2 linked regions of the Callithrix jacchus genome follow. The protein of the gene in region 2 purifies or fractionates together with the protein of the main gene of each other region. This does not show direct contact. Links are inferred from orthologs where the notes say so. Each region holds a gene or a part of one and is shown on either strand. Other genes may lie near its edges.

Region 1 (4,256 bases), on a different chromosome or scaffold from region 2:
GTTACAGTTTCAGGTGAGGATCAGCCAGACATAACTGTTGTCTTAATCTTTAAATGTCATATTTAGCCCTGTGGTCTTCTTAACATCAAGGTATTTACAGAGAATTTGTTAAATGCTCAGTGATTTCAAGAGTTCCCTTCAATTTTACTTATCAATGAAATAATCATTTAATTTTCCAGTACAGATAAAGAATGTATGGTATTTTTCCATATTATAAAGGTAAATTCTAAAAATTATTAAACCATAATTTTAAAAATGAACTGCACCTGTATTCATTACGTCAATTCTTCCTGACAAGTGATTTGTAATAATCACATCAAACATACCTTCAGCTTTGAAAGGAAAGTCCTCAGAGATCCAAAAGAAAAAGAAACTCAGCCAGGCACGGTGGCTCACGCCTGTAATCCCAGCACTTTGGGAGGCCCAGGTGGGCGGACCATTTGAGGTCAAAAGTTCAAGATCAGCCTGGCCAACATAGTGAAACCCCGTCTCTACTAAAAATACAAAAAAAAAATTAGCTGGGTGTGGTGGCACACACCTGTAGTCCCAGCTACTGGGGAGGCTGAGCATAGGAATCGCTTGAATCCAGGAGGCAGAGGTTGCAATGAGCCAAGATCATGCCACTGCACTCCAGCCTGGGCAACAGAGCAAGTCTTTATGTTTCTCCATCTCAAAGAAACCAAGAAACACAAAGCATCACTTAATATCACTTTTCTTTTTATTTTCCTTTTTAAATTTTTTTTTTAATTTTCTAATTTAAAGACAGAGTCTCACTATATCGCCCAGGCTGATCTCAAACTCCTGGACTCCAGCTATCCTCCCGCCTTGGTCTCCCAAAGTGCTGGGATTACAGGCTTGAACTACCTCGCCTGGTCTCATTCAGTAACTAACAAAACATTACAGGTAGGTTTCAAGTTTTATTTACATGGACCTGAAAGCACTACAGAAACCTGGACAAAAGATAATGCCTAGAAAAATAAGTACACATTTAAAAATTTAATACATGAACCAACAGCTAGTAGATCTGAACACTCTGCAATCTATCTTTATGGATATTAGAGCCAATTCCCACAGACCATAATTTTCCCAAAGAAGAAAGCCTCAGAGCTTGTGGTCAAGATGAAAAGAAAGTACCATTTATTAACCAGTGCATATTACTATCAAGTTGTGAATGGAATGCCTATTTAAGAACATCACTGACTCCATCCCCACAAGAAAATAAAGTGTTTTAAAAAAAGAAAAGAACAAACGTTGACAATTACCAAACAAACAAAACTTTCTTATTGGGTTATTTCCCCATTTACTGTGTGACCTCGCTGAAGGCTGAGAGTTTAGACATAGCGCTTTCCAGGTGCTGAAGAAATCATTATTGTTGGTTTGCCGTAAGTCTATCCAAGAAAGATTTTTAAAATGAGTACTTTGGCTGGGCACGGTGGCTCACACCTGTAATCCCAGCATTTTGGGAGGCCGAGCCAGGCGGATCACGAGGTCAGAAGATGGAAATCATCTGGCCAACACGGTGAAACCCCGTCTCTATTAAAAATACAAAAATTAGCTGGGGGTGGTAATGGCCCGCGACGGTAGCACGGCTACTCGGGAGGCTGAGGCAGGAGAATCGCTTGAATTCGGGAGGCGGAGGTTGCAAGTGAGCCGAGATCGCGCTACTGCACCCCAGCCTGGCGACAGAGCAAGACTCTGTCTCAAAAAAAAAAAAAAAAAAAAAAAAAATCAGCAACAACCAAAAAAAAATGAGGACCTCTTGGCAACACTTACCCGTTTTGGGGCATTGAGCTGCTTTGCTCCCCTCCCAAAAAGGAGTTGGAAATTCTTCTTAACCTCATTCTTTCACAATTCCTAAGGCTTCTTACCTAATATAACGTGTAGAATTATTTTCAGTTGACTCCAGATCCATCGATTTGACACCGAGAGCCTTCCTACCGTTACGTCCTCAGCCCTGAACAAATCCAGCTTCCTGAGCTTCTAACGGCAAATTTAACTTATACGTTAACATACAAGAAATGTTACAAAACTATCGAGATAATTTTTTTACCAAACATATTACAACTCAAGTCAAAAGTTTACACCCCCAGCAACTCGCGTACGAATGTGAAGCAGGTCCAGACGTTTAAAGTCAAAGCCCCGGACCAGAAAACCGCCGGCGGGTAGGGGGAGGGGCGAGGGCGCGTCCCGAATATGTCCACCCTCAGCACCGCGCAGGCTGCCGCCCCCTCCTCCTCTCGGGCTGGAGGTGAGAGCGCCCTCCCTTCTACCACGTCCCTACCTTCCCGGTCTTGGATTACGCCACAGCTGGCAACAGGACTTTTTCAGTAGAAAATAGACAAGCCGGCGAGCGAGCCGCACACTCGACCTCCCAGCCTCGCAGGGGCGGTCGCCCGGGCTCTAACCCCGACGCAGCGCTCCAGGGGCTGACAAGGAGGCCACGGGTTCGCGCTCCCTGGGGCAGAGCCCCAAGGGTCTCGCGGAATCCCAGTGCAGACGTCCGGGCCCCGCCGAGCAGCCTCCGCATCCCCTCCGGCTCAGCTCCGAGCCTGCAGACGGCGCCCCCGGGGCTAACTCAGCGGGGGAAGAGGAAGCGACGCAGCGAGTAACAGGCTGTGAGGACGGACAGCCGACTGAAGGAGGGGGTGTGTGTGTGTCGGCCTCCCAGCAAGGCCATCTCACCCTCCGTCTTCCGTGCCGGCTAGCTCCAGCTCACCTGAGGAAGGCACCGGGACGCCGCCGCGGTCGCCGTGATGACCGTAACGGCACGAGGCCTGCGCTCTACCGCCGCGTAGCTCTCGGGAGAGGGGCGGGGCACGCGCGGTGGGCAGGCGGATCCGCGCGGGCAGGAAACCCACTCCCGACCCAATCTGATAGGTTCAGTCGCCCCCTTTCCCGGTCCTTGACGCGACAGTGGTCTGTGCCGCACTGGGATTGGGCGGGCCCACTTGTCAATCAAGCGCCGTTCGTACTGTGGAAAGAGCTGAGGCTGCGCGGCGGAAAGAAGACAGCGAGAGGGTGAGAAGCGGTAGGCCAGACCACGACTGTCTTCGGTTTTCCCTCTGCGGTTGCTCTGGGTGGTTACTTTGAGCCTTCCGCCCCAGCGCTGCAGGAGAGACTCTACAGCAAAAATGACAGCGTCCTGAGCTAACCCCCACTGTTCAGGGAGCCTCCCCCTGGTTTCTGCACCTGAAGAATGTCTTCCCAGCCGAAGGTGCTTAGGAGCAGGGAGGGACAAAGAAAAACAAATAAAAAGACCTGAAAATTGGGACCTGGGAGAAATGTAAGACATGTGGCTTTTTTTTTTTTTTTTTTTTTGAAACAGAGTCTTGCTCTGTCGCCCAGACTGGAGTGCAGTGGCGTGATCTCGGCTCACTGCAACCTCCGTCTCCCGGGTTCAAGCGATTCCCCGCCTCAGCCTCCTGAGTAGCTGGGACTACAGGCGCGCGCCTCCACCACGCCCGGCTAATTTTTTGTGTTTTAGCAGAGACGGGATTTCACCATGGCTGAGATGCTCTTGATCGCCTGACCTCGTGATCCGCCTGCCTCGTCTTCCCAAAGTGCTGGGATTACAGGCGTGAGCCACGGCGCCAGGCCGACTTGTGTTTAATTTGAGGCACAGACCAAAATAAACTGAGTCTGAGGTCCCTCTAAAAGGACCCTCGTGCTTGGGCAGCTTCCAGTCTTGGCGACAGTAGTGTTATGAAGAGGATCTTCGGAGCTAGGTCTGCCTGTTATAAGGTTTCCAGCCACTGGCTGAAGCATCAGTAAGTGTGCTGCAAACCGTAGTAACCTTTTTTTTTTTTAGACGGGGTCTCGCTCTGTCGCCAGGTTGGAGAGCAGTGGCGCGATCTCGACTCACTGCAACCTCCGCTTTCTGGTTTCAAGCGATTCTCTCCCTCAGCCTCCCTAGTAGCTGGGTCTACAGGCACGCGTCACCACGCCCGGCTAATTTTTGTATTTTTATTAGAGACGGGGTTTCACCATGTTGGTCAGAATGATTTCCATCTCTTGACCTTCTCATCCGCCTGTCTCGGCCTCCCAGAGTACTGAGATTACAGGCATGAGCCACCACACCCTGCTGCCTCATTTCTTCTTAACCATCTTTGTGGTTCAGTTTAGGGTCGCTCCTCAGGGAAGCTTGCCGAGTTAGGTATCCTTGAGCACAGGTATTTTCTCCATCCGAGCTATTGAAATGGTTTGTCTGTATCCCTACGTGGATTGTAAACTCCATTGAATCAGGAACCGTGTCTGTT
Region 2 (7,010 bases):
GAGCCCCAGAACCAAAGACTCAGCCAGATGGCAAACTGTAGCTTGCCTTTCTAAGTCTACAATGACTGGCCTCAGCCTCCATATCAAAATCTCTAAAGCCCCCCAATTATTAGTATACTGCCTAAGCCTAATCTTTTCTACAAATTCCAAGAAATGAGCACTGTATTTATACCTGAATCTATTCTAAACTCAACATTTTGCATCCCAGGAATCCTTCATCAAAACTCTTGAACCCCAGATGTTTGCCAAGCTCCTAAGTCATAAATCAGTTCCCCAAACCCCAAACTTGAATATTCCATTGATCCTTGAACTCCACATCTGTCCTTTTAAATCCACAGCACAGACCCCAGAGTTCCCATATTAAAATTCCTGAACACTCAAATACCAAGGTAGTTTTTTTTTTTTAACCTATGTGTCCAAGGCATGAACCAGGCATAGGCACAGATCAAGAGCCAAGCTGGGATGAACAAGGGGTTGCTTTGTCCCTGGCTGATATGAGATGGGCACTACCAACCAGATGCCACTCTACCCAGGTCAGGGACACAAGGTAGTTCTTAAGAAAAAAGTCTTTTTCACAATCCCCCAACCTGAACTTTCTAGGTTTAAGCCCCAAATTCATCCTTCTAAACCCATAAAGATGGACTCAGCATAACTTCAAGATCCCAAGCCTGTCAAAGCTTGACCAAACTCCTAAGCCATGACTCTTCTCCACAAACCCCAAATTGCACTTACTTTAGCTGGACTCCCCACAAAACTCCCAAATCTATGTGTTTGAACTTCAAATCTCAACTCTAACTCCCAAATACCAGAATCCTACCTGTCATTAATTGGGGCTGGGGTGGCAGGGAAGGGCACAGATTGAGTCTCTGAATGAGTCTCAACTTCCTAAGACTAGAGTCCTAAATTATGAAATTCAAGCTCCCGAGTCCCACATCTAGGGCCCTGAACCCCAAATCCAAACCTCTCACAAAAGTGTCTGACTCCTAGATTGTACCCCAACTCCCCACATCCACACTGTTAGATTCCCCAGCTCTCTGGTACTGAGCTAAAAATCTCCAAACCAGACTATGAGACCCCCAAATCCAGACACCCTGCTCCCTGCCCAGCTAACAAAGGCCTGCCACCCCCGGCTTGCCTCAGTGCCACTGTGTCTCCCACCCTACACCTCTCCAGGCTGGTCGGCTTCTCTGGGAACAGGAGCTGTACTCACAGCTTGTCTACTCCACCCCCACCCCCTTCTTCCACACCTTCACTGGAGATGTAAGTGACCAACCAGCCCTTGAGCCTCACTTGGGTTTTGGAGAGGAGATGGGAAAGCTGCGGGGGACCTGGGAGGTGGCTGACCCCAAGGTATGTGCAGGACTGCCAAGCGGGGCTGAACTTTGCAGACGAGGGCGAGGCCCAGGCCTTCCAGGCCCTGGTGCAGGAGAAGATACAAAAAAGGAATCAGAGGCAAAGTGGAGGTGAGGAGGCTGCAGGGGAGGAAAGGAAATTGGGCAGAAGTGAGTGTAAGTATGGGAAACTAGAAAAGTCTCCTCTCATGGTTTTCACTCCCAATCCATCTGTCTATCCACAGACAGACACCAACTACCCCCACCACCAACACCAGCCAATGAAGGTGAGTCCTCTAGTACAAGTAGGGGTAATAAGGGGCTATCCCAAGAACCTGTGGCAGAGTTGTGATAGCTCTTGACACATCCCATCTTCCCAGAGAGAAGAGGAGGGCTCCCACCCCTGCCCCCACACCCAGGTGGAGACCAAGGAGGTGCGTGCTGATTCTTCCCTGTGTCTCTGGATGGATGGGTGGGTAGGTGGAAGAGTGGATGGAGGAATGAGCAGTTGGATGGGTGCCTAAGTGGGTGAATGGATGGGTATGTGGATGGATGAGTGGGTGCATGGATGTGGGGATCGATGGACGGGTGGGTGGATTCGTGGCAGATGGCTGAGTGGAGGGATGAATTGATGGGAGGATGAAAGTCTAAGTAGATAGATAGATGCATAAGTGGGCCGGGCGCTGTGGCTCACGCCTGTAATCCTACCACTTTGGGAGGCCGAGGTGGGTGGATCACCTGAAGTCAGGAGTTCAAGACCAGCCTGGCCATCATGGTGAAACCCCATCTTAAAAAAAAAAAAAGATAGATGCATAGGTGAATGGGTATGTGGATAAATGAATGAAAGGGTGTATGGATGACTGAGTAAATTCGTGAATGAGTGAATGAATGAACAGTGAATAAACGAGTACAAGACAAATTTGGTCAGTGAAGAAAGCAGGATGAATAAATAAATCAGTAAATGAAAATGTTAACAAATTCATTAGTCAGTGAGCCAGTGAATGATAAACCATGAGGGAATGAAAATAATGAATGAATCAGTGAATGTATGAATGGTTTGCAGGATCCACTCACTTCTCTATAGACCCTCCTTGAACCCTTCACCCACTCCCTCCATGACCATCCAACACACACACAGATTTCCCCAAGGCTTCTGTTTCTTGCCCCTATGCTTTGGTTGGTTGGTAAGTGGGTCAATGGGCCAACCACCCTATTTTCCCCACAGGCCCACCTGCTGGTCCGCTGTCCCTGGGGCTGGCGACAGTAGACATCCAGAACCCTGACATCACAAGTTCACGATACCGTGGACTCCCAGCACCTGTACCTGGCCCAGCTGATAAGAAACGCTCAGGGAAGAAGAAGATCAGCAAAGCTGATATTGGTGCACCCAGTGGATTCAAGTGAGAATCACTCCCCAGTGGGCCCATAGATTCCTGGGGCAGAGGGGCACATAAACAAGTGAACAGCTGAGTGGATGGAAGGATGGGCAGATGGCTGGGTGACTGGGTGGGTAAATAAGTGGATGGATAGGTAGGTGTAGGGCTGGGTCTAGAGAGAGGTAAATAAGGCAGTAAGTGTGAAAAATTTAAGGAGGTATTCACTCTTAGGAGCATGCAACTGTAATTCCTGACTCACTTAAATTTTACACCTCAGGCACCTCACTTGCCTCACCCTGGGCCCACTCTGAGTGGGCTGTTAGAGGAGAAGATGGGTGGGCAGGTGGATGAATGGATGAATAGATGAGGTAGATGATGGATGAGGTGGGCTGGTGGGTAGGTGGCTGAGTGGATGGGTGGATGGATGCATAAATGCATGGAAGAATGAATAGGTTGAAGAATGAATGGATAAGTGGTTGGATGGACGGGTTGATGGGTTGATGGGAGGTGGGTGAGTAGATGGATGGGTGAGTGGATGAGTGTGTGGACAGACTGATATGCAGGCTGACTGGTTCACAGACAAGGTGGATGGTGATGGACAGGTGGATAGATAGGTGGATGAATGGACAGTTCAATGGATAAGTGAACAGAAGTGTGTGGTTGCATGGGTAGAAAAATGAGTGAGTGGATGGATGGAAAAGTGGCACATGGGTAGGTAGATGGACAAGTGTGTGTGAGGACAGATTGGTAGACAAATGGGTGAACAGACATATGTGGGCAGACAGTTGCAGAAACAGATGTATGGGTGGATCAGTGGTCCAACAGATTAATGTGAATGAATAGGTGGACACATGCATGGGTGAATAGATGAGGAAAGAGGGATGGATGGATTGGCACCACAAACTATGGATCCCTTCTAATTCCATAACTCCTGCTCATACTCATTCACTCATTCAGTCTCATTTGTTAATTCTGGTCCCTCAGAGTCTTTCTGGGCAGGAGAGGACAAGAGGGCTTCACTACAAAGGGAGGGAAGGAGGGGCACTGAGGATTCACTGGAGTCTCTTCACCTCTTTCAGGCATGTCAGTCACGTAGGGTGGGACCCCCAGAATGGATTTGACGTGAGTAACTTCAGAATCTCTTGGACTCCACTAAACTACCCACCCTTCCACAGACCACTGCTGAAACCCCACTCCTAGACTCTGCCCTTCCCACCCGCTCTCAGATCCCTCGCTGGGATGGACCTGATGGACAATTCGTGTTGATTTTCTCCTCACCTTATTCCTCTACTCCTGCCCCTGGCCTTTTTCCTCCTGGGCAGGTGAACAACCTTGACCCAGATCTGCGGAGTCTATTCTCCAGGGCAGGAATCAGCGAGGCCCAGCTCACTGACGCCGAGACCTCTAAACTTATCTACGACTTCATTGAGGACCAGGGTGGGCTGGAGGCTGTGCGGCAGGAGATGAGGCGCCAGGGTGAGCCCCTGCTTCTATATGCCCCTTTCTCCAGCCCTAGCAGCTCACAGCTAAGAGATTCACTAAGTCACTCTATCCTTATGGGAGCACCTATACCGTTTAAATCAGGAGTTGGTCGTGGGGGGGATCCCATTTTAAAAATGAGCAAAACTAAGGCTCAGAAGGTATCAGTGAGAGTTACAGCTATGTGTTATTCCCCCCTCCACAGAGCCGCTTCCACCACCCCCACCACCATCTCGAGGAGGGAACCAGCCCCCCCGGCCCCCTATTGTGGGGGGTAACAAGGGTCGTTCTGGTCCACTGCCCCCTGTACCTTTGGGGGTTGCCCCACCTCCACCAGCGCCCCGGGGACCCCCACTCCCAGGCCGAGGGGGCCCTCCACCACCACCTCCTCCAGCCACTGGACGTTCTGGACCACTGCCCCCTCCACCCCCTGGAGCTGGTGGGCCACCCATGCCACCGCCACCGCCACCACCACCACCTCCGCCCAGCTCCGGGGATGGACCAGCCCCTCCCCCACTCCCTCCTGCTCTGGTGCCTGGTGGGGGCCTGGCCCCTGGTGGGGGTCGGGGAGCACTTTTGGATCAAATCCGGCAGGGAATTCAGCTGAACAAGGTGAGGACAGGCAAGATGGAGGATTGGGGGTCTGGGACTCTGGGGTGTCCTTTGCAAGTCAAGATACTGGGGGACTGAGGCCAGGACCGAGGAGAGTGCCAGGCCTTGGGGATTCAGTGATAGAGTTGAAAAGTTGCCGGGCACAGTGGCATGTGCCTGTAGTCCCAGCTACTTGGGAGGCTGAGATGGGAGGATCACTTGAGCCGAGGAGTTCTGGGCTGTAGTGCGCTATGCTGATCGGGTGTCCGCACTAAGTTCAGCATCAATATGGTGACCTCCCAGGAACGGGGGACCACCAGGTTGCCTAGGAGAGGTGAACTGGCCCAGGTGGGAAACGGAGCAGGTCAAAACTCCCGTGCTGATCAATAGTGGGATCGTGCCTGTGAATAGCCACTGCACTCCAGCCTGGGCAACATAGTGAGACACCATCTCTAAAAAAAAAGAAAAGAAAGAAAAGTTGATGGGGAGCCTTGAAGGGGACTGGAGTGTGTGGAAGGGAAAATAATGATGGAGGGGCAGGGAGAAATGCTCCTTTCCCAGGCCCTGAACCCTCTGTGCTGACCCCTGCCTGCTGCAGACCCCTGGTACCACAGAGAGCTCAGCACTGCAGCCACCACCTCAGAGCTCAGAGGGACTGGTGGGGGCCCTGATGAATGTGATGCAGAAGAGAAGCAGAGCCATCCACTCCTCCGGTGAGTTGATCCTGCCAGGGCCTCAAACCTGGCTCCCAGGGCTAGCACTGGCCTCAAAACAATCCCAGCAGTCACCACCAATACTGACATTAGTCCCATCTGTTGACAGCATTAACATGAATCTTGTGTCAGTCTCCTTTTTGACAATGTTAACATTAAGTCATTATGTGACAATAATATAATTAACTCCAACTTTGACAATAATATTAACATTAATGCCAGGGTGTGTCCACAATATTAAGGTTATTCCCTTATGTTCAGTAACATCAGCTGGCCGGGCACGGTAGCTCATGCCTGTAATCCAGGAACTTTGGGATGTCAAGGCAGAAGGATCCCTTGAGCACAGGAGTTCGAGACCAGCCTGGGCAATATAGTAAGACCTCGTCTCCACAAAAACTAGAATTTTAAAAAAGTAGTTGGGCATAGTGGCAAGTACCTGTGGTCCCACCTACTTGGGAGGCTGAGGTGGGAGGATTGCTTGAGCCTGGGAGGTCAAGGCAGCAGTGATCCATGATTGTGCCACTGCATTCCAGCCTGGGTGACAGAGATCTTATCTCAAAAAAAAGAAACATTAACCCACTATGTGATGAAAATATTATGAAGAACACCATTGTTGACAATAATATTAACTTTAAGTCCACGTGTCAACAGATTTATATTAATTCATTATGAGATAATAATCTTATAATGTAATATTTTTTCTTAAATGCTTTGAGACAGGGTCTTGCTCTGTGTCCCAGGCTGGAGTACAGTGGTGCAATCATGGCTCACTGCAGCCCCAACCTCCCAGGCTCAAGCGATCCTCCTGCCTCAGCTCCCAGAGTAGCTGGGACTACAGGCATGGACCACCATACCCAGCTCATTTTTGATGCTTTTTTGGTAGTGATGAGAGCTCACTATGTTGCCCAGGTTGTTCTGCAACTCCTGGGCTCAAGTGATCTGCCCACCTCAGCCTCTCAGAGTGCCGGGATTACAGGCATGAGCCATCATGCCTGACTGTTAACCTTATCTTTTTATGATAATGTTACTATTACTCTCTTAATGTGTCAGTAATACTGTCACTAATCATTATATGATGATAATATTAATCTCAACCCACTAAATGATAATAATACAATTAACTCCAATTTTGACATTAATGTTAACAACATTAACCACAGTGTGTCCACAGATTAAGGTGAATCTATTATATGACAATATTATAGGAACTTCATCTTTTGACAATGATTTTTTTTTTTTTGAGACAGACTCTTGCTCTGTGACCCAGGCTGGAGTGCAGTGACACGATCTTGGCTCACTGCAGCCTCTGCCTCCTGGGTTCAAGCTATTCTCCTGCCTCAGCCTCCTGAGTAGCTGAGACTACAGGTGCACCACTACGCCCAGCTAATTTTGATAATGTTATTGTCATTAACCTCATTATGTGTCAAAAATATTAGCATTAACCAGACAAAAAACAATAATAAATTATCCTGCCTTTGCTAATAATATTTAAATTCACTCCAATAAATAGGTTAACATTA

The links. Proteins that work in one complex are often made in the same cells at the same time.
Region 1: the proteins of WAS (region 2) and NCK1 purify together in Homo sapiens (affinity purification with western blotting; 4 studies listed by BioGRID and IntAct, with this or other methods). This does not show direct contact. The link is inferred for Callithrix jacchus from reciprocal best matches to the Homo sapiens genes WAS and NCK1.

Annotation. Positions count from the first base shown.
Region 1 is NC_133518.1:47,382,852-47,387,107, forward strand, and holds the start of NCK1 (SH2/SH3 adapter protein NCK1), read right to left. Parts: upstream 2,801-4,256; 5' UTR 2,717-2,800; exon of another isoform or gene 2,282-2,716; intron 1,974-2,281; exon of another isoform or gene 1,869-1,973; intron 495-1,868; exon of another isoform or gene 327-494; intron 1-326. UniProt on the Homo sapiens protein: Adapter protein which associates with tyrosine-phosphorylated growth factor receptors, such as KDR and PDGFRB, or their cellular substrates. Maintains low levels of EIF2S1 phosphorylation by promoting its dephosphorylation by PP1.
Region 2 is NC_133524.1:49,253,242-49,260,251, forward strand, and holds part of WAS (actin nucleation-promoting factor WAS), read left to right. Parts: intron 1-408; exon of another isoform or gene 409-543; intron 544-1,173; coding exon 1,174-1,260; intron 1,261-1,360; coding exon 1,361-1,463; intron 1,464-1,576; coding exon 1,577-1,618; intron 1,619-1,711; coding exon 1,712-1,765; intron 1,766-2,556; coding exon 2,557-2,731; intron 2,732-3,786; coding exon 3,787-3,829; intron 3,830-4,029; coding exon 4,030-4,183; intron 4,184-4,391; coding exon 4,392-4,798; intron 4,799-5,375; coding exon 5,376-5,490; intron 5,491-7,010. UniProt on the Homo sapiens protein: Effector protein for Rho-type GTPases that regulates actin filament reorganization via its interaction with the Arp2/3 complex. Important for efficient actin polymerization. Possible regulator of lymphocyte and platelet function.